Oryctolagus cuniculus: one gene and its partners. The protein of the gene in region 2 interacts with the protein of the main gene of each other region in a pairwise test. Links are inferred from orthologs where the notes say so. Each region holds a gene or a part of one and is shown on either strand. Other genes may lie near its edges.

Region 1 (7,640 bases), on a different chromosome or scaffold from region 2:
AGCCTTGGCAACTCATATGGCAAGAGCCTAGGGTGATTACTGACATCATAAATAAGAGTGGCAATTGTTAAATCAACAACGGGAGTCACTGTGCACTTACTCCCCATGTAGGATTTCTGTCCTTAATGTGCTGTACTATGTGAATTAACGGTATAACTAGTACTCAAACAGTACTTTACACTTTGTGTGTCTGTGTGGGTGCAAACTGTTGAAATCTTTACTTAGTATATACTAAATTGATCTTCTGTATATAAAGAGAATTGAAAATGAATCTTGATGAAGAATGGGATGGGAGAGGGAGTGGGAGATGGGATGGTTGCAGGTGGGAGGAAAGTTATGGGGGGAAAAGCCGCTATAATGCAAAAGTTGTACTTTGGAAATTTATACTTATTAAATAAAAGTTAAAAAAAAAACAGTAAAAAGTTCTTCCGTTCTCCACTGGCCAGCAATGCCAATTTCCATTCATTGAGTTAGCGTACAGGTCATGTGTGTATGGATCTGTTCCCCCACATCCTCGCCAGCATCTGTTGTTGGTAGATTTCTGTATGTGAGCCATTCCAACTGGGGTGAGATGAAACCTTACTGTGGTTTTGATTTCCATTTCCCTGATTGCTAGTGATTTTGAACATTTTTTCATGTGTCTGTTGGCCATTTGGATTTCCTCTTTTGAAAAATGTCTGCAATTGACTTTAATAACCTATAGTCTTGAACTTTTGAGATTTCTATACAGATTACATCACAATGAGACTTCTAATTTTTCATCTCCTATCTTTACACTTTTATTTCTTCTCCTTGTCTTATTGCTCTGGCTAGGATTTCTAGTACAACGTTAAACAGAAGCTGTAAAGGCAGGCATCCTGCTCTTGCTTCTGAGTTTATGAGAAATATTTAAACTTGTCTGTTGCAATGGTGTTAACTGATAGTTTTCTGTAGATATTCTTGGAGTCCTGGATACTTTGCTTCTGATACAGCTCCTTGCTAATGGCCTGAGAAAGGAAGAGAAGATGGCCCAAGTGTTTGGGCCCCTGCTACCCATGTGAGAGACCTAGATGAAGCTCCTGGCTTCAGCCTGGCTCAGCACTGGCCATTGAAGCCATATGGAGACTTTCAAGTAAATAAATAAATCTTAAAATAGGAGGGGGAGGGGGAGGGGAAGGGGAGGGGAGGGAGAAGGGGGAAGGAGGAGGAGGACAGGAGAGGAGGAGGGGAGGAGGAGAAAGAAGAAGAGGAGGAGGAGGACCCTGCCTTCTCTGTGGTATCATTCCTGACTCATCCATGGCTTTCGTGAGATCTTATAGCACTTATTATTGATGATATTCATTTGATACTTGGCATGAGTTACTCTATACACATCCTCTCTACCAACTAGAATATAAGCCCCTCAAAGGACAACAACTCATGAGCATAAAATCCTTGCTTAAAATCCTTAGGCAACCCTAGTGATGAAACGGTGAAAGAGGAGCAGTTGTACAATGATGTAGCAGCCTTAGAAAATGAGCCTTCTGAACACATGGGCTTTCCAGAGCTGCAGTTTTAAAGTCCTAACAGATTATATGCAACATATCCCTGCTTTGGTAACAGAATATTCTGACTATATTTTATACGGTTCTTGATTGTAGGCAAAATTTCTTTTTCTTTTTAAGTACAGTCAGTCATTAGGAATATCAGTTATGGTATTGCATTAGAGATACAGTCATGGATACATAAGGTATGAGTGCAGAACCTTCGCTGTGCCCCTGAACAAGAGCTTAAGGGGGTGGCTATTTTCCCCCTTTGGCATTGACCTCTAGTAAACTTACAGCAAGGACTTACACTTTTCTTCCTGGGGTTTCCTACTCTCCCCACCCTCTTTTGCTCCAGAATTACATAATGCAGAGCTTCAGGACTGATACATTTTTAGCAGTGAAAGCATAAAAAGTTACCATTCTCCAGATTGCAACTTTTCAGCATATTTTTCCACCGTGCAAACTCCTCTCTGTACCTACTACTAGATGACCTCATAACTGCTTTTAACCCCTAGAGGAGACATAGAATATACATGTACAGTGTAACTCAGAGAACGGACTCTGGGACAGACTGCCTGGGTTCAAATACCACTTTAAAAAGATACTTAGCCATCATCCATATCATAGAGAATAAACATATGATGGTACTTCAAAAAAATGTACAAAAAAGAAAAGATAGGTTGGAGTAGGTATTTGGTCTGGCATTTCAGATGCCAGTTAAGATACCTATATTTCGGGGTGGTGCTGTGGCATAGAGGGTAAAGCCACTGCCTGCAGCACCAGCATCCCATATGGGCTCTGGTTCGAGTCCCAGCTGCTCCACTTCCAATCCAGCTCTCTGCTGTGGCCTGGGAAAGCAGTAGAAGATGGCCCAAGTGCTTGGGCCTCTGTACCCATGTGGGAGACAAGAAAGAAGTTCCCAGCTCTGGATCGGCTCAGCTCCAGCTGTTGCGGCCATTTGGGGAGTGAACCAATGGTGGAAGATCTCCCTCCCCCCCCCCCCCCGCCTCTCTGTAATTCTTTCAAGTAAATAAATAAAATCTTAAAAAAAAAAGACACCTACGTTCCATATCACATTTCCTGAATTCAATTCCTGGTCCAGGCTCCTGACTCTAGTTTCCTGGTACTGCAGACCCGAGGAGGCAGCAGTAATAGCCCATGTAATTGGGTTCAGGTCATCCCTGTGGGAGCCCTATCCCTAGCCCCAGTCCAGCCATGACCTTTGTAGGTATTTGGGAAGCGAATCCGTGGATGGGAGGTCTCTTAGTCTGTCAGTTGGTCTCTATCTCACACACATTCTCTCTCATCTCTCTGCCTCTCAAATTAATTTTTTTCAGATGAGTCTTTTGGTGTAAAACATTTTTGAAATCAGTTTTCTTCAAAATCCATTTTCCATGAAATTTCTGAAGACCCTTCATAGTAACATCACAGGGTTACTGAGTGTTAAAGAGTTTATATTTACAAAGTGCTCAGAACATGGTCTAGCACATGGACTATTAAATAAGCAAGTTAAATGCTGTAAACCTGAACTCTATTGCTGTCTTCCTTGTCTCTTAAAACTGTTCCAGCAGTTCTGTGTTGGATGGTGGTTGTTCTGCTGGTGGTTCTTGGGAGAGGAGGGGCAGAGGAGACAACACTTAGGGACCACAACACTCCTCTCCACTGCTGGGGAGGGGAGTCTCTCTCAGAAACATAGGCAGGGGGTAGGGGCACTCAACACTGCTCTGTTAGCCATGCTAGGCAGGTGGAGAAAATGGGGCTGCTTATTTAATCAGCATAACAGGAATCAAGGGACCTGTATGACTGCTATTTAAATATAAACCTATCTATATAGGTACAGCTATAGATATATATTTCCAGGATGGATGGATGGATCGATCGATCAATCGATCATCTGCCGGGCTGGGCTCTTCTGTGGAACAGTTCTAGGCTCCCCATCACTGACCATGTTGAAGCAGAGTATTGGTGGCCAGGTGTCAAAGATGCCGCATCAAAGAATCTTTTAATTTAGAGTCAGCTCATTCAAGATTCCTCTTGGCTCTACAATCTTGAAAATCCTAGTGTGAGTCAACCAAGAGTTACAAAGGTGTGAGTCACGCAAGGCCAGCGCCTGCTGCAGGCGCTGCATTCTTACCTCCCCACAGTGCTTGCCAGGCACCTCCTGCATCCAGGTGAGGAATCCCAGCCCTCGGGCTGTGAACAACCCAGCATGAAGTAACAAAAACTTTCCAAAACGAAGCTGGCCAGTGAGCTGGTTCCCGCTCTGGAGTTACTACAGGTAAGTGCAATAATTCACACGGCCCCAGATGGGTCGTTGGGAAAAGGCATCTGGACTCACTTCGTGGCCGGACAAAAGCAGACACACGTGGGCAGGCAGGTTAAGGGGCAGGGGCCTGGGCCGGGAACCGGTGAATCGGAGCTGCAGGAGCCAGTACAGGCGGAGAGAGGGACAAAGGCCTCAGGAGAGCGCGCGGCACTGAGAGGCCGGCGGCAGTGCCCTGGCCGCTAGCCGGCCCTCCGGGTTCCAACTGGAGATGCGAACGGGCGACGACAGTGGGCTGGGGAGCGGCCACTAGGAGGACGCTGGGGTCCCTGCGCTGGACTGTGCCGCTCGCCCCGCGAAGCAGCGTCCTCGGCCGGCGCAGATGGGCGCCGGGGCCCAGGGCGGGCAGCGCACCTGCTGGGCTCTCCCCGCCACCCCACAGCCCCCGCTCTCCACGCGCTGGGTCACGCCGCCGCCGAGTCTCGGAGGGCCCATTCCCCCTGCGCCTCGGCGAGGTCCGCACCCTGGTTCCAGGGACCGACACCCACGCCGCAGCGCCGACGCGGGATGCCGGGGGGCCGGGTCGTGGGAGCAGCCGCCGCCATAGCGGGCCGCGGCGGGAGGGAGACCAGGAGCCGCTCGGGCGCGCGCCACTCACCTGAGAAACCAACGGGAGCAGCGTCTGCTCCACCGAGCGCGTTTTGATCTCGAGTCCCGAGTCGAAGGCGAAGCCCGACGGGCTAGAGCCGTGGACAGCTCCGGCGCCGCCAAGGCCGGCGGACCCAGGAGAGGCGGCCATGGTCCTCGGCGCAACGCGCAACCCGGACTCCGCGCCACCGCTGGCCCTCTGGCCGCCAGCACGCCCGTCAGCCGCAGCGCACCCGCGCCACCCGAGGCCCCGCCCTGAAGCCCCGCCCCTGCCTCAGGCCCGCCCACCACACCCAAGAAGGCCCCGCCCACATTCGGCCCAATCCCGTCTACCCTCCACCCGAGGCCCCGCCCCCACCTCCACACCGCCCACCAGGGCCCTCCCACCCCGCCTACCCGGCCCCGCCACGCCCCTGCGTGCTGCTTCTAGGGTCGCTCTCCAGGACCCGGGTCTGTTAGCCTTATGGCTCCACCACAGGCCCTGTGGCCCCTCTCTCTACCCTAGGGGAGGCTCAGAGCACCTGTCGCCAGGGTAGGGAGAGAAAAGATGACACCTGGCTACGGGCCTCTCACCTGGACAAGAACAGCCATCCCTGTCAAGTTACCTCTTGGTCTGGAAAGGTGACTCTTCCTAAATTAATCTGAATTTCCGCAATGTTCTGGAAGCTGCACTGGGGTTGAACCCGCATAGCAGTCAGGTCTGCGGGGTCCCAGGCGGGAATCTGGACGATTTTCCTGGGGCTTCTCCAGAAGCTCCATTCTCCTCTACCCCCGGCTCATTTTCTAAGCACATTTCTCACAACACACTTTGAGCTGGGTTGAAAATGAAACATTTGATAATGCACTCACTCAAGGAATGTCTGGGTACTCAAGAAGACAGTGTATCTTTCAGGCTGCTGCTTAGACTTAACTCTTTAAAAGGGAATTTAAATTAAAGTGAATTTAAAATAAAACTACTGTTCAACAATACTACTTTTTGAAACTACTTTTCACGGAGGCAGTTTCTTAATAACTGTTCATTGAATGGAAACATCGTGTCTATTCTTTTTTTTAAAGGACTGCTTTTTTTTTTTAAGATTTTATTCATTTGAGAGGTAGAGTTACAGACTTTGAGAGGGAGAGACAGACAGAAAGGTCTTCCTTCTGTTGGTTCACTCTGCAGATGGCCGCAACGATTGGAGCTGCACTGATCCAAAGCCAGGAGCCAGGAGCTTCTTCCCAGTCTCCCACGCAGGTGCAGTGGCCCAAGGACTTGGGCCATTTCTACTGCTTTCCCAGGTTATAGCAGAGAGCTGGATTGGAAGTGGAGCAGCCGGGACTAGAACTGGTGTCTACATGGGATGCCAGTGCCGCAGGATTAACCTACTGCACCATGGCACCGGTCCCCAAGTGTTTATTTCTGACTGAACTCACCAGCCAGGCTAGGAATCTGTGTTCTCCAAGCACAACCCTGAGCTTACGTGGGTTTCCAGGAGCCAAGTGAAAAGGAAGGTGTCAGAAGCATGTGCCTTGTGAAGGAGTCCTAGACTTATGCAAGGGGCAGAAACCTGAAGAAATGTTTTGTGAAGTTCTGTATCTGCCAATGAGAACCCATCAGAGCAGACAGCAGGCTGAGAGTGGCTGGCCCACCCTAACACCTTGGCAAGATCATGTCTATGTCGTTACTTTCAAATTGATTGAGCTGGTGACTGTCCACGCGAGGTGTCACTAAGCTCTTTGAAATTGGCGAAACGTGCTTTGTGGTGCTTCCATTTGGCAGCTCAGTTTCACCCCCCAGAGCTGCATGGGTAGCTTTGGTCCTGAAGATAGCCACACTGAGGCTTGCTTATCCTTAATTCAACTTTCCTCCAATTCTTAGTCCTCAGTCATCCACCTGAGCACATCCTTCCCCCCAAGGCTCCTGCTGCCCGTGCATTGAGGGCTTCCGCTTCAGCCATGGACCTGCTGGCCTCTTTAAGATACTCAGCATTCACTCCCCAGACACACCATGGCTTACAGAAGTGGAATATACTCCATAAAAATTCAGTGCAGGCATCAAGAGGAAAAGGTAAGGGACAGATGAATGTATTCATCGAAGTTTGGCTACAGATCACGTTTCTCAACAGAGAAAAGACTGTTTACCACCTGATTCATTCGACACCAGTAATTTTATTTCAAAATATAAATACTTTACATTTACAAAGAAGTTACATTAGTAGGTTGTCAAAGCAAGTTAAAGCTAAGAAACAGTATTCTGTGTAGGAATATTTATGGTTGTATTGGAATATTCTTTTTCATTTTTAAACCATGTCTTTTTTGCCTGAGTATATAGAGACGATAGATTTTCAAAGAGGTACATAAGAAATTACAAGGGCATATCCAATTTTGGTTTTAAAACCAAATGGTATTTGAAATACATGCCAATCACTTAATCAAGTGCCATTACAAAGGACAAAGAAGAGTTTTCTTTGGGACAGCTACAACAAGAGTTACACTTTCTGGGTCACTGCACTACTGAAAAAAATGATGTTTGGTAATAAGCCAAAATGATTTTCCTCTAAGATCTGCCTCCATGCCTTTGAAAAACACAAAGTTAGATAATAAGAAGCCAAGTGAGGAGCAAAGAACTTTGGACCTGGAGTCAGAAGTTCTGCAAATTCTGGCCCCATCATTTTGTTGTATAAATTTGGGAGAAAAAAAAAATCACAAAAATACACTTTCAGAGCCTCCAGTGCCTCATCTGTACGATGAGAATAATACTGCCTATCACAGAGGGTTGTCACCAGAAAAAGTCTGAGAAGTATAAAGTGCCGTACAAAAGCATTACTAAAATGTGGTGTCAATATATCACCACTGTATCTGCACACTAAGTTTCCTTGAGAAACTTGCAAAACTAAACACAAATACTGATTTTACATACCATAGGTGGAAAACAATCTCTATACTTCTTAAAGTATAGTTCTGAACAGGAAACATACTTTCTGGTATCTTACGAAACTCTGAGACTTACTACAGATTACACGTAGCTCAGTAGTAAATTCACACCTTTGAGAAGTTCCATTAGGGATGTCTTCTAAGAGAGCTGTAAACCTGATGAACAGCCAGGTTTCCCAGAGGACCTGTAGCATTTTGAGATGCTCTGAGAAAAGGAGGAGGAGGGGCACCCATCTAAATCAACAAAGTCTTTGTCCCCTCTTAAAAATTCTCCAGGTATAACAGCAAGTCAGAAACTCCTAGAAGTGCTA
Region 2 (7,607 bases):
TTTCATAAATTCTAATATTGAACTTGGTTTCAGTGAATGTCTTTTTTCCATACTGTGTCCTATGACCTTCCCAAAAAAATGTTCCAATATGAACCAACTGCCTTGATAACAGAATACAAACCTCCGAGGACGACAGCAGAACAGTGTGAGAAAGAAAACCATTGCCTCTCTCTGAATCCAATCAAAACCTGAATGTGCTGTATAAAAATAAACCAAGGTCATCATTATTCCTTGTCATTGTGATTTGGCTTGGCTTCAAATTGCATACCCTGTATATCTCAAATAACTGCACCGCCTCCATTAACTGAGTTTGACATCACTTTAATCAATGTATATTTTCATAATGAAAGGCAGAAATGTCAAATTCCTATCATTATAAATTCTTTCAACTCTCTAATCTGCATTAAATAAAAGGTTGTCTTTGAGAAATAATATATGCTTTAAAGAAATATAACTAGTATTAATTTTATTTTAAAATGTAACTGGGAAAAGATTTACTCCATGAGTCTCTTCAAACATAGGTGATTTCCCATGAAACTATTAAAGTTTTAATTATGTGGGCCCTTCCCAAGGCCCTAGCTGATTTGCTATTCATAATTTATTTATTATTTTTCTTAAAACAGCTCATCCCCCTCCAAATTGTATAATCTCACCCCCGCCAAGTCCTGTATTTGTTCCTTCTTGATTAATTATGTTCTATTGGACAGAGGACATATATTAGCATTATTTGTCAATTTATTTAAAAATGATGTGTCTTTAACATAAAAAAAATCACCAAAACATGAAAAGAAAATTACCCTTAAAGATAGATCAATTTCTAGGGGCCAGAGTTGTGGTGCAGTGGGTTAAGCCACTGCTTGTGCCCTCAGCATTCCATACTGGAGTGCAGTTTCTAGTCCTGGCTGCTTCGCTTCAGATTCACCTCCCTGCTCATGCACCTGGGATGTAGGAAAGCAGGATGGGGTTTCTAGCTCCTGGCTTTGGTCTGGCCCACACCTGGCAGTTGCAGATCTTTAGGGAGTGAACCAGTGGATGGAAGGTATCTTTCTTTCTCTGTCTCTCCTTCTCTCTGTCACTCTGCCTTTCAAATAAGTAAATAGATTTTTTTTTTAAAAAGAAAGAAATTTCCAATCATTGTTCAGCCTCTGAAACTTAGAACTTTGTGGTTTAAAATTGTGTGCATTTACATATATATAAACACATATACTCACACCACACTCACACATAACTTGTAGATGTGAAATAAAGAATAGTTTGATGAAAACATGAAAAATTATTTTTAATAAGTAAAAATATTACAGTAGAAGTTGGAAGTTGAGGGAGAGGTTAGGATATCAGTCTGTTTTACTGTTTAGATAAAGTCTTGATGAAAGATAAAATAGAATTTTAAAAAGCACTTGACTTTCCAAGACAAAGATTTTAATCTATTTTATTAAATCACATAAGTAGTTAAGAACTTGACAATTTGTTCACATGTAGCATATGGTGGACTACAAGGATTTCAAATAAATACTACAGTACTAAAGAGGAAGCTGTATTGATAGCTCTGTCCAAACTAGAATTTTTTTTTCTTAAATTTGCAAAACTCAGTTGGTCATCCTTTAAAAAAAGAGTAACATCTAAATAACATGCTCTATTGTATTTTCCAAAATGTTATGCCATGTAAGAGACACCAAAAGATTATTATCTTAAAAACTATGTTATCAATTCAGTTCAGCAACCTCTTTTTCATAGTTAAATGCCCTAAGAGGGCTTTGCAAATGAAATTTTAAAAGGTGATTTTATTACATCTCATGATGCTTTGCATCATTTAAAAATTCAAATGAAATGTCTATTTGCAATTAATTATTTGAGCAGTTGTTTCCAATGGATTATTTGAGTAATTCTAAAAGCAAACAATATGTGTATTACTACAGTGATATTCTTAAAGGGCCATTACTTTGGTCAAAAAGCAATCAAATGTGCTCTTTTAAGTTTTTCATACTAAGGCAATTTTACAACGTGGATTCAAATGTTTAAACACTCAAATAATAGCATGTTGTCAAATAGAAAAATTAATGTATAATATAACCCTGATAATATTTCTATTTTCTCTTAAACTCATTGTCAGGTTGCAAAGGTATTACTTGCTGTTTTTAAAATGCTCCTTTTGGAGCATTTTTTTTAAGGTCAACTTTTCAAATTCTAATGTATTAAAAAGTTATTTGAATATCTATGACAAAGAAGAGTATAGATTTATCTTACTTCATTCCAGAATTGCATATTTGTGATACTTTCCAAATATCTCTATGTATTGGTGTATTTTAATTTTATTAGCTATAGATAATCAATCATAAGTTTGACAATATTGATAGATTAATGATATGAAAGAACTAGAAATAGCAAGGGAAATATGCATTTGTATACATGTGTAGCTATGTGTATTTTTGTAATGCTACTAGATGGAATAGTTTTTCAATCAGGAAGTGATGCTGATGCTCACCACAGAAATTTTTGAAGGACACAATATGAAAAAAGTCATATTAATGAAATCTAGTACCATCTAATGTGAATTAAGAAATGAATGGTGCTTATTTACTTCACAAATTTTCTGTGGCAAAACTTCTGACTCTTTTTGTAGAAGTTGTGATATATTATTACTTATTTGGAGAGATTTAATCTTTCATTGTTAATTATAGACATTACCTTCATATCTATTTCAGAATGACCATAATTCACATGTCAAGGCAGGAAAAGAAAAAGATAATCTCCTTCAACCACCTCTTTGGGACACAGTGTCCTTATATATCATTTTTACTGTTGTGCCATAGTTAATTTTTAAATTCTTCATTAGTCATCATGACTTTCTTAAACATAAACAAAATAGTTTCTTTTTTTAAGAAGTTAATAAAAATATTTACTGAATTAGTTGGTCACAACAGTCATGAAACAACACGATCAGTTTTCTACAAAATATGATGAGACATCCCTCAAGTTTTTATGTTGTTTTCTCATCAAGAGACTGGTCATTTGCCAGTGTAGATCACATACTTATTTGAAAAAAAAAAAAATCTCTCATGCTATAAAAAAGAATTCAAAACACTAAATATAATGTGAGAAAGGAAATTAAACCTTTATCAATATTTTCGCATCTGTCATTTATCCATCACAACGCAATTTTGTTCTTTGTCCCCCCACCAAGGTATGCCACATAACATTATTCTAATCTTTAGGCCTGTATATCATTCCAACAAAGCAGTTAATTCACTGAGAATATATGTCAGGTCACTACTCTACATGGAACCACCACTAAATACACAAGTATTAAATAATCAAAATAATAACTCATATATATAGAAACTATTTCACAGAAATCAACTGCTCTGTACTAATACTCCAGACCTGTTATACATTTTCTGTTAATCTAGTGATTTCTTAAAGAAGAAAGATGTTTTTGCCTATATTGAAAAAAACCCAAATATACCTCATTTCTTATTGAAAGTTTTCCCAATGGGAAGTACATACACCTTAGTATATATACATATATATACAGTATATAGAACATTTAAGATTATTCACGAGCAGCTGCCATAATTTAAAATCAACCTGCTTAATCATTGAGATTATCACAAACAAAAAGTTACACCACAGTAAGAGATATTTTTAGTTACTTTGTACTTACAACAGTCCTCTACTTCTTCCCACCAAAGCATTTGGAAAAAAAGTATATATCAAGGCTGTGATAAAAATCTTGGTAAAAATTTCTTCAAACTTTATTGCTCCAGTAGGCTTAGGAATGACGAGAAGCCAATAAACTTCAGCAGCTTTCAAAAAAAATAACACTTCAGTTTTTCCTATTTGTTTTTCTCTGAAGGCAATTGCCTCCAAGTTCTGAGTCTGTAAGGAGAAAGTGAGTGATCCCAACACTGAGTGAGTCAACGCAGTAACTGATGCCAGGATTCTGTAGAGGCCCTTGGATATTTCACATTCCAGGACCTGCGCACAAGCAAGTGACCCGCCTTTTCTCTCAAGTTGGTTTCCCATAATAGGACTGCCCATGGACACTACATATAAGGTTGTGCTCCCAGCATGGAAAGCCCAGTGAATTCAAATAATGCTCAACTGTGTTGTGATCAGTATCCAACCAGAATAGCACAGTGGATAAAGTACTTGCTCTCAAAGCCTTCTGAAGACAAAAAGCCTTCAGTAACAAACCATAACAATATTTTCTAGAACATTACATAAATTTCTAAAACAACAGAGCTGAAAATTCTGATCCAGAATGAACTTTTAAATGATTTTCTTTCTCCCCTCCAAGAACCCCCAAAACTTCACTCTACTGAATACAACGGTATGCCCAGAATGATCTATGCATTCATTATGTATCCACTGTCTACCAAAGTTAATTTTTACCATCAGGATCCAATCAAAAGTTGTATATGGATGATTGCAACAGTCTGAATAAGAGAAGCAACAGCAGAATGTAGCAGCTAAGTTCTGAAGGCAGAATGTGTGTTAGTCTCATGGAACAAGTTTTCTGCTAAAATAAAGAGCACTTAGAAGGGAACAAAACCGCTTTTAAAATGCTGCATTTTAATTGTGGTTATGATAAGAATTCTTTACTAACAAATGACTCCTTGTTAAATTTCTTTGGTGCAAATTATTAAAACATCATTCTCTTACGCATTTAACTAATGATCACTTAATGCTTCTCAACAGAGCCTTTTTTTTGCCTGTATCCAATACAATGTGTCATCCAGCATGTTTGTAAATCATTCACTGCCAAAGGAAGACTTCATCTTCTTCCTTACTATTTTTATTTATCAACTGAGCCCAACATTTATAGGAAACATTGGTAACACTTTCTAGAAAAATATTCGTGTTGCTATCATAATAATCCCTACTAAAACTATTTGTTTGAGTGTTTTTATAGTACCATTTGTTAAAGTGACAGACTCATTTTTCTATGTCAAGCTTTCAATTGCTTGGCACAGAAATAAATAAAGGATAAATATAAAAATGACACATTGAATCAGACAATAATGTTTATATTAATAGTCAATTATAAATTTTATATTTAGGATGCCATCATTATAATACTGCCATTTTGCCTGTCAAATTCTATATAAAGTAAAACATGAAGTCTAATTTTAATTGTAGGTAATTTTATGTAAATCACTATGATTAAAAATAGATTAAAAACACCATTTCCATGGGCCATCTCATTTTCTCTCCTTAGTGTAGAGATATGCATATAAGCAAAAGTTTCTTAAAACAAAATGAAAAAAAATGTTTTGGGGCTGATTTGGATTCATATCTGCTCATTAGCATAAGTATCTCCCTGAACTTTCACGGACAATGTTGTCCAGAGTATAAGTTCTTTTACATCTTGTACTTTGAGTTTTCTATAAACTCATGTTTAGACAAGGCATATGTATAGTTCTTGAGTTCACAAACTAGGCTATTCTGTATCACATGTGAACTTTAAAGAAAGCAAGTATACCCAAGTCCCGGAAAATCAGAAACTGTTGGTGTATGAGCCAACACTCTGTGTCTTACAGGTGACTCTAATGCTTCATCAACTTTGAGAAACCCTGAAGCATATGTTTCTAAAAATAACTGTAGTTCCAAATATACCAAAAATGTGCCCTGGGTAAAGAAAGCTTTTGAATGCCTGATACATTTTAACTATCTTTTATTCTTATTCAGTAATCAGAATTTATTTGGCATCTGTAATAACTTCTGCATAGTGTGGAATACATATACCTTCCTTAAGGTTTTAAAGAGAAAGGCATATAAGAAAACATTTAACCCAAATACAGTGAACTCCTGTACAGACCTTGTCACTATTTTCTGTGGCTTTTGTCATTTATTTCTCTCATTTACTCATCACAATAATGAAATCAGTTAGGTCTTAGGAGCTCCATTATAAAGATGACTGGTCAAGGAGCTTGCTCAAGTTCCTGTTTTGAACTACTGGCAGAGAAGGACTGTGAAAAATTCATTTTTATTTTGAAATAATTACAGATTCCTAGGCAGTTGCTAAGATTGTATAGAGGTCCTATGTACCTCCCCCCTGTTTTTCCCAAAGACTACGTCCTACATAACTGTAATACAATATTAAAACTAGCAAGTTGACATTAATATTATATATATGCATATATATATATAAATAATAGTTTCACAAGTACAGATTTGTGTAGCCACAATCTCAGTCAAGTAGACAACTGTTCCATTACCATAAGACAGTCCTCATGCAAACCCTTTAAGTCACACTAACAACCCTTACCAATTGTCCTAAATGCTGACATTCAATTCACAAATTTGTTCTCTACCACTATAAGCTTATCATTTCAAAATTGTTAGATAAATGGAATTATTCAGCATATTACCTTTTTAGATTGATTTGTTTTGCTTAGTATTATTATGGTTTATCATACATTCCATTCTATGAAAGTTTTATCATCTATTGTAGGACATTTTACTTTTTTCTAGGTTATGGTTACTACAAATAAAGCTCAAAAATAATAATGTACAGGTTTTTGTTCCCATCTATCTAAACTAATGCTCAAGAGTATTACTACTAGGCCTTATGGGAAGTATATATTTAGTTTTTTTTTAGAAACCGACAGAACACTTTCAAATGTGACTCTACCATTTTACATTTCTACTGGCAATGTTTGTGTGATCCAATTTCTTAACATCCTTGCCAGCACTTGAAAAGTATTTATTTATGAGAGAAAGAACAAACTCCCCAATCCACTAGTTCACTCAAATATATCCATTGGCCCCTGGGCCAGGAGCCAAAGCCCAGAGTGGGGAACTCAATCCAGGTCTCTCATATCCAACTACTTAAGCCATCATTGCTGCCTTCCAGGGTCCATACTAGAAGGAAAATGGAGTCAGGTGTGGAGCTAGGTATCACCTGGGCCCTGAAATATGTCACATAGTGTCTTAGTCATTAGGTCAAATGCCTACCCTCTCATCAGCATTTGATGTTCTCACTTTTATATTTCTGTTTTAGCCTTAAGCATGTAGGGTTAAATCACCATGGCCTTCATTTGAATTTCCCTAATGAGTACTGGCATTAAACATGGTTTATTTGCTATCTTAATATATTATTTTAATAATTTTATTTTATTGCAATAAAATGTTATTATGGCTATACCCTCTAACAGTTTTTAAGTGTACATCCAATGTTATTGAATACAGATGTAATATTGTACAGCAGAGTTCTAGAATTTACTCAGCTTGCTTAGGTGAGATTTTACTCCCATTGATTGTTAACTTCCTATTTCCTTCTTCCTGAATATTTTCTTCAGTGAAATCTGTTCATATGTATTGTTCATTTTCTAACTGCATTGTTTGTTTTTTTTTTAACCAATGAGTTATGAGAGTGCTTTATATAATTTAGATATGATTCTTATGTTACATACATGGTTGTCAAATATTTTCTCCCAGTCTGTAACAGGTCTTTACATCCTTTAAAAAGGATATTTATAAGGCAAAAATATCAAATTTATTCAAATCATTCAATTTTTTTCCTTTATGGACAATGATTTTGGTGTCAGGTCTAAGAATTGTTTTCAAATTTTGATATACATTTTGTATAGCATGTATTTTATTTT
Region 3 (7,883 bases), on a different chromosome or scaffold from region 2:
GGGCGTCACGGCAGGACACACACACACACACCCACACTGCACACTCCCACAGGGCGTCACGGCACCACACACACCCACACTGCACACTCCCACAGGGCGTCATGGCAGGACACACACACACACACTGCACACTCCCACAGGGCGTCACGACGGGACACACACACACCCACACTGCACACTCCCACAGGGCGTCACGACGGGACACACACACCCACACTGCACACTCCCACAGGGCGTCACGGCAGGACACACACACACACACTGCACACTCCCACAGGGCGTCACAACGGGACACATACACACCCACACTGCACACTCCCACAGGGCATCACGGCAGGACACACACACACACACACTGCACACTCCCACAGGGCGTCATGGCAGGACACACACACACACACCCACACTGCACACTCCCACAGGGCGTCACGACGGGACACACACACACACACTGCACACTCCCACAGGGCATCACGGCACCACACACCCCCACACTGCACACTCCCGGAAAAGGTGCTGGGGAGAGGCCAGAGGGACACTGGCCTGACCCCGAGGCCCCTGCCGCCGCCCAGGCACTCGGACTCGGGTAAGGAGCCCTGGAGCCCCACGGCCCGAGGACAGGAAGGACTGACCGCCCGGCATCGCACGAGAGGCACTCGGCGCCGCGGAGGGGACAGGTTCGGACAGAAAAGGGCCCTCTCGGCCCGTGTTTCCAACACTGCAGCCAGCAGTCCCTCCTCTCCCGCTGCCCTACTCACTACGCCTGCACTTCTGTTCCCTCACCACCCGCCCCGCACACAACCTGCACACGCCATCACCACTAAAACCAGTCTTAGCTGGTGAGCTCCTGCTTCCCCCGCCCCGGCCCGGGCCTCTCAGACCAGAGCTTCCAGCGTGGCAGAGCACTGTGCAATCCGTACAGCGGGTGCAAGGAGCGCTCGTTCCTGATGAGACCCAACACCAACCACCAGGCTGCGAGGCATGCGGGGGGACGGGTCACTGCTCGGCCCTGGACAGCACGTGGCGTGCAGGGGGACGGGTCACTGCTCGGCCCTGGTCAGCACGTGGCGTGCGGGGGGACGGGTCACTGCTCGGCCCTGGTCAGCACGTGGTGTGCGCGGGGACGGGTCACTGCTCGGCCCTGGTCAGCACGTGGCGTGCGGGGGGGACGGGTCACTGCTCGGCCCTGGTCAGCACGTGGCGTGCGGGGGGACGGGTCACTGCTCAGCCCTGGTCAGCACGTGGTGTGCGCGGGGACGGGTCACTGCTCGGCCGTCAGCACGTGGTGTGCGGGGGGGACGGGTCGCTGCTCGGCCCTGGTCAGCACGTGGCGTGCGGGGGGACGGGTCACTGCTCGGCCCTGGTCAGCACGTGGCGTGCGGGGGGACGGGTCGCTGCTCGGCCCTGGTCAGCACGTGGTGTGCGCGGGGACGGGTCACTGCTCGGCCGTCAGCACGTGGCGTGCGGGGGGACAGGTCGCTGCTCGGCCCTGGTCAGCACGTGGCGTGCGGGGGGACGGGTCACTGCTCGGCCGTCAGCACGTGGCGTGCGGGGGGACAGGTCGCTGCTCGGCCCTGGTCAGCACGTGGCGTGCGGGGGGACAGGTCACTGCTCGGCCCTGGTCAGCACGTGGTGTGGGCGGGGACGGGTCACTGCTCGGCCCTGGTCAGCACGTGGCGTGCGGGGGGACGGGTCACTGCTCGGCCCTGGTCAGCACGTGGCGTGCGGGGGGACGGGTCACTGCTCGGCCGTCAGCACGTGGCATGCGGGGGGACGGGTCACTGCTCAGCCGTCAGCACGTGGCGTGCGGGGGGACGGGTCGCTGCTCGGCCCTGGTCAGCACGTGGCGTGCGGGGGGACTGGTCACTGCTCGGCCCTGGTCAGCACGTGGTGTGTGGGGGGACGGGTCACTGCTCGGACGTCAGCACGTGGCGTGGGGAGGGGACGGGTCACTGCTCGGCCCTGGTCAGCACGTGGCGTGTGGGGGGACGGGTCACTGCTCGGCCCTGGTCAGCACGTGGCGGTGGGGGGACGGGTCGCTGCTCGGCCCTGGTCAGCACGTGGCGTGCGGGGGGACGGGTCACTGCTCGGCCCTGGTCAGCACGTGGCGTGCGGGGGGACGGGTCACTGCTCGGCTCTGGACAGCACGTGGCGTGCGGGGGGACGGGTCACTGCTCGGCCCTGGTCAGCACGTGGCGTGCGGGGGGACGGGTCACTGCTCGGACGTCAGCACGTGGTATGCGGGGGGACGGGTCGCTGCTCGGCCGTCAGGAGTCCTTTACTCTGAGACCTGCTCCAGGACACGCACCAGGACAGCCCCACGCTAACGCCAGCCTCCTCGGGAATGAAGCTACAGCCCAATCTGCACCAAGTTGGCTACGGATTAACCCAGTCTCCAGTGCACACCAAGTCCCGAGAGCCACGGCCGCGGTCCTCGGCACAGGCGGGATGCCCGGAGCACCTGCGTGCCCGTTCCTGGCACAGCCTCACCGGGCCCCGCCCTTGGAACCCTGAGCAGGGACTGTGGGCAGCGAGGATTCCTGCAGACGCTGAAACGCGAACGCGAGGACGCGAGCAGGCCCCTTGGACACCGGCTCCCCGCGCTCGGCCGACCCTGTTGTCCCAGCGTGCCCGCCGTCTGCCAGACCAACAAGGCGGCAGAGTGCATCTCAGCACTGGGCTGGGACACGCAGGCCAGCAGGCGACTGGGAGCAGGCAACCCACCCCACTCAGCCCGTCCTGGCCTCCATAACCCGCCCCACACAGCCCGTCCTGGCCTCCATAACCCGCCCCACACAGCCCGTCCTGGCCTCCATAACCCACAAAACACAGCCCGTCCTGGCCCCCGTGACCCACCCCACACAACCCGTCCTGGCCCCCATGACCCACCCCACACAGCCCGTCCTGGCCTCCGTGACCCACCCCACACAGCCCGTCCTGGCCTCCGTGACCCACCCCACACAGCCTGTCCTGGCCTCCATAACCCACAACACACAGCCCGTCCTGGCCCCCGGGACCCACAACACACAGCCCGTCCTGGCCTCCATAACCCGCCCCACACAGCCTCCTGGCCTCCGGAGTCGGGTCCCTCTTCCCGCCGCGGGCAGCGCCCTCTTCCCAACCCGGCGGTCACCAGCCACCTCCCCCCGCAGCTCTGCACTTCAGGGAGCAGCAGGACGAACAGCAGACCAGAGTGGAGGGCTCAGTGCCCCCACCCAGGCCTCCGGGCAGGGAACAGCACCTGCCACCTCCCCAGGGAAGGCGGCGCAGCACCCTGCCTCCATGCCATGGGGCTCCCCCACAGCCGGCCCCTTCCCCAGACACCGTCCAGGCCAGGCCCTGGGGACGCAGGCGGGCTCCCGGCTGGTGACACGCGCTGGCACACTTACAAGCTAAGGTAAAGTCTGTGCAGGTCGGGCGGCCGAGCTGTTGAGTGAGCTGAGGGCCCCCAATGGTCACACCGCCCCAGAGTCCACCTGCTTCCTAGCCCCAGAGCACTCCAGTTCCCAAGGGCCCTCGGTGCGCCATGGAAACAGCACCCCCACCCCGGCCCCACCCCCGCGCTGCCACACACCTGACGGTTGCCAGGAGCCATCCCAGACTCCCTGAGCAGGGAGCCTGCGCCGGGGACTTCTGGGCGCTCAACTCACCGCGGCCGGACCGAGCCCGCACCCACACCCACACCCACACCAGCCTCACTCGAAGGCGGCCGGCGGAGCAGCGCTAACCGCCACCCGCAGGGCTCCGCCCCTGGCGGCTGCAGCGTGGGGATCCTAACACCCTGACTCCGGTCTCCACGGGCCCCGGGGCAGGGCGCGGTCCCAGCCACAGCCCGGCCCGCACCGGGGAGGGCGCGGTCACGGCCCCGGCCCGGCCCCAGCCCGGGCCCGCACCGGGGAAGGCGCAGTCACGGCCCCAGCCCGGCCCCGCACCGGGGAAGGCGCGGTCACAGCCCGGCCCCGCACCGGGGAAGGCGCGGTCACAGCCCCAGCCCCAGCCCCGCACCGGGGAAGGCGCGGTCACGGCTCGCCCCGCACCGGGGAAGGCGCGGTCACGGCCCCAGCCCGGCCCGCACCGGGGAAGGCGCGGTCACAGCCCCAGCCCGGCCCGCACCGGGGAAGGCGCGGTCACAGCCCGGCCCCGCACCGGGGACGGCGCGGTCACGGCTCGCCCCGCACCGGGGAAGGCGCGGTCCCAGCTCGCCCCGCACCGGGGAAGGCGCGGTCACGGCTCGCCCCGCACCGGGGAAGGCGCGGTCACGGCTCGCCCCGCACCGGGGAAGGCGCGGTCCCAGCTCGCCCCGCACCGGGGACGGCGCGGTCCCACTCGCCCCGCACAGGGCGCCCAGGGGCCGCAGTCCCGGCAGGGGCCGCCGCGGCTCGCCCACGCCCCGCCTCCCGGCCCCGACGCAGGCCCGGGTCTCGGCCCCCCCGGCCACCGGGCCCCGGCGGCGCCCACCTCCGTGATGATGTCGTGCAGGTAGCGGAACGGGGGCTTGTTGAGCAGCTTCTCCGTCAGCGGCGGCCTCCGGATCACCTTCCCCAGCGCCTCCTGCGTCCGCCGCACCACCGCGGCGTTCATGGCGCCGCCCGCCGCGCGTCCGGCCGCCCGCGCCCCTCAGGCGGCCCGGCCGAGCCTCAGCCCGGCTCCCTGGCCCCGCCGGCCCCGCCGCCCGGTGCCGCCGCGACGCGCAGCGCGGGTCCCCATCCCACAGTGCACCGGGCCCGCCACGGCGCCTGCGCGGAGGCCGCGGCGCGCCCGGTCGCTAGGGCGGCGCGGCCTTGGCAACGAACGCCCGCGCGCGGGACGCCGGGAAGCGGGGTCTGTCCAGCGGCCGGCGGCGGGGCCGCGTCCGCGGTGACCGTCCGAGGAAGGCGCTCCACACCGGGCCTCTCAGCTCCCGAGCGCTTTCGCCGGCTCTGGCTCGTGGGCGGAGCCAGGACGCGGTTATCCCGAAAGCCGCGCGGCGGGCAGTGCCCTGTCCTGCGCGGTCCTTGGCCGGTTTTCCCTCAGACCTCCACCCTGCCGCCGCCGCCACGCATCCCGCGGGGCAGGTGGGCAGCGAACGGGGCCCCGGGCTCGCCCCGCGGCGGCTGCGGGCTCCGGGGTCTGTGTGGAGCCTCTACCTTGGTCTGCCATTCTGCGTGTGCACCTGCACGTCCCCGGGGCGGGCACGGGGCGGGACTGCCCGGTTCCAGTCCGGCTCCCTGCTGATGTCCACCTTGGGCGGCGGCAGGGGACGGCCCGGTGCCCGGGTCCCTGCTGTCCGCGTGGGAGACCCGGATGGAGCCATTGCGGGCGTATGCGGGTGAGCCAGTGAATGGAGAGACCGAATAATGTATCTTTTAAAGTTTCACCTGGTGTCCGTGTGCCAGAAACGGCAGGTGCGCGTGGGCCGGAGGCCCAGGAGAAGCGGGATCGTGCAAGCTGATGGACACAGCCAGGCTGGCCCCGGGAGCTGATGGAGCCTGGGAAATTGGTTGTAAGTCTCCGCGGTGCCGGGGCAGCAAGTGTCCGTGAGGCTCGTGCGGGTTTCCGCTTCCCCGCGCCCTTTCGATGGAAGCATCCTGGCCTGCTGTTGGTGACGTGGGCAGGCAGACAGGAGAAAATCGGCTAGTTGGCGAGCTGGAAGACCACGTCTTCACACCCCTGTGAGCTCACCCCTTCCTGCCCCCACCTGTGCGCCCACTGCCACTCAGGCTACGTGACCACGCGCCTTTGGAAGTGGCTAAAAGGCCCGGAGCTCGCTGGGCCCTTCCTTTGTTGGCCGTTGCCTTCGGGGCGCGTGCCCGTTCCCGGGGCTGGCTCCTGGCCTGCTCTCTGCTTGCTGTGGACACAACTTAGCCTCTAGACGTCTGCTCTCCGAAATGAAGCCCTCACCCTCCTGCACATTTCTCTCACTGAATAAAATCCTTAAAACTTACCCTGTTGTCTGGTCTATTTGGGCCCATATTCAGAATTCTCTGAACACAGGGCAAGAGCCCACAGCTTATTCATATTGAAAAATTATTAATATTGAAAAATATTAATAAGCAGGGCAGTGTCATTGGGAGAACCCCGTCTCATATTTCTCTTTGCACGGCTCCGCTGGCAATGGGTGCGCCTGTGTTTGCTTGTCTGGAAGTCTGGGTGGACAGTCCCCCAGTGGGGAGCAGTCACCCAGACTGTCCACCCAGGGCGGGCCCGTGGAGCCTTCACACGCCCTCCCGCGTCTCCGAGCTTCTCCCTGTCGGCCCCCTGCAGCCACTCCAAGGATTCTCTCCAGGAATGGCCCAGCAGCGCAGGATTCTGGGCTGGCGGTTTCTTCTTTGACTCTGTGCCTTCAGCACATGCTGCGTTGGCTTTTGGCTTCCATGGTTTCTGGATAGAAGTCTGCCGTCATTCTTATTCCCGTTTTTCTGTTATGCTTCTGGTTGCCTTCAAGATTCTGTTTTTATCATTGATTTGCCAGACATTTCCCATTTTGTGGAGATTTTTCCCTAACATGTATATTTGATTATTATTTACTTGCATACATAATTATTTACATATATAAATTTTTGATAGTTTTTTTAAATAATGTTACCACTACCACAATCAAAAAAAGAAACAGCCCTTGACCCCTGAAAACATTTCTTCCTGCTCATGTGTAGTTCGACTCCTTGACCCCCAACCCCAAGCAACTGGTTTCTGTCATAATTTTGCATTTTCCAGAGTTTCATTTAAATGGAATTATAAATTGCATAGTCTTTTTTGGATTTTACTCCTTTTCTTATAATGTTTTTGAAATGTATCCGTGTTCTTACATATATTCCTGCACCATGCCTTTTTGTGACTGAGTTGTACTTCATAACTCATAGCACTTTGTCCACTAACCTGTGGATGAACATTTAAATTGCTTTCAGTTTTTGGTTGTTAATGAATAAGGCTGCTATGACTTCACATACAAGTCTTTGCATCAATATAAATGTTCATTTCTCTTGAACTGGAAGAATATGTTTTATATCATGTTTTTTAAAATCTTTTACTTACTGGAGAGATGGAATAGCATCTATCCTCTAATTCACTCCCCAAATGCCCGAAACAGCCGGAGCTGGGTTGAGGTTGAAGCTGGGAGCTGGAGACACAGTGTGGGTGGCAGGAATCAAATGACTGAGTCGTCACCGAGGTCTCAGGATCTGCCTTAGCGGAAAGCTGGGGCCGGGGCAGGACTCAAGCCCGGGTTCCCCGACATGGGACACAGGCTCCCTGACCACCGGGCTGAACACCCACGCCTGCCCTTGTTTTCAAAGTGGCTGCGCCTGTACCCCTTCACACCACTTGTATAGGAAATGCCCAGTGGTGGGGCCGGTGCTGCGCAGTGGCCTGCGGTGCTGCCTACCATGTGGGTGCTGGTTTGTGCACTGGCTGCTCCTCTTCCAATCCAGCTCCCTGCTAACAGCCTGGAAAAAGCAGCAGAAGATGGCCCAAGTGCTTGGACCCCTGCTGCCCGCCCGGGAGACCCAGACAAAACCCTGGCTCCTGGCTTTGACCTGGCCCAGCGCTGTCTATTGCAGCCATCTGGGGAGTGAACCAGTGGATGGAAGATATCTCTCTCTCTCTCTCTCTCTCTCTCTCTCTCTCTCTCTCTCTCTATATATATATATATATATATATATATATATATATATAAATAAGTAAACCTTTAGGGGGAGAAAAGTCCAGGTGTTTGCTGTCCCTGCCGACATCTGGTATTGCCAGTCTACCTTTAGTTGTAACAGTGAGTGTGCTAGGTGGCTATGGTGGCTATGGTGGCTATGGTGGCTATGGTGGCTATGGTGTCTCGTTATGGCTTAATTAGCTTTCCTCCAGTGATCATTGGGTTTTTTGTTCATAATTGAAATTTATTGGTGCTGAGAATCAAT

Evidence for each region. The genes of interacting proteins can lie anywhere in the genome.
Region 1: the proteins of DMD (region 2) and CTNNAL1 interact in binary tests that used the Homo sapiens proteins (3 or more experiments, as listed by UniProt). The two-hybrid records come from large-scale screens. The link is inferred for Oryctolagus cuniculus from reciprocal best matches to the Homo sapiens genes DMD and CTNNAL1.
Region 3: the proteins of DMD (region 2) and TRAF3IP1 interact in a two-hybrid assay, tested with the Homo sapiens proteins (2 studies listed by BioGRID and IntAct). The link is inferred for Oryctolagus cuniculus from reciprocal best matches to the Homo sapiens genes DMD and TRAF3IP1.

Annotation. Positions count from the first base shown.
Region 1 is NC_091432.1:212,713,833-212,721,472, forward strand, and holds the start of CTNNAL1 (alpha-catulin), read right to left. Parts: upstream 4,699-7,640; 5' UTR 4,568-4,698; coding exon 4,427-4,567; intron 1-4,426. UniProt on the Homo sapiens protein: May modulate the Rho pathway signaling by providing a scaffold for the Lbc Rho guanine nucleotide exchange factor (ARHGEF1).
Region 2 is NC_091453.1:19,806,567-19,814,173, forward strand, and holds the start of DMD (dystrophin), read right to left. Parts: upstream 4,479-7,607; 5' UTR 3,693-4,478; coding exon 3,662-3,692; intron 1-3,661. UniProt on the Homo sapiens protein: Anchors the extracellular matrix to the cytoskeleton via F-actin. Ligand for dystroglycan.
Region 3 is NC_091434.1:2,097,109-2,104,991, forward strand, and holds the start of TRAF3IP1 (TRAF3-interacting protein 1), read right to left. Parts: upstream 4,699-7,883; 5' UTR 4,582-4,698; coding exon 4,459-4,581; intron 1-4,458.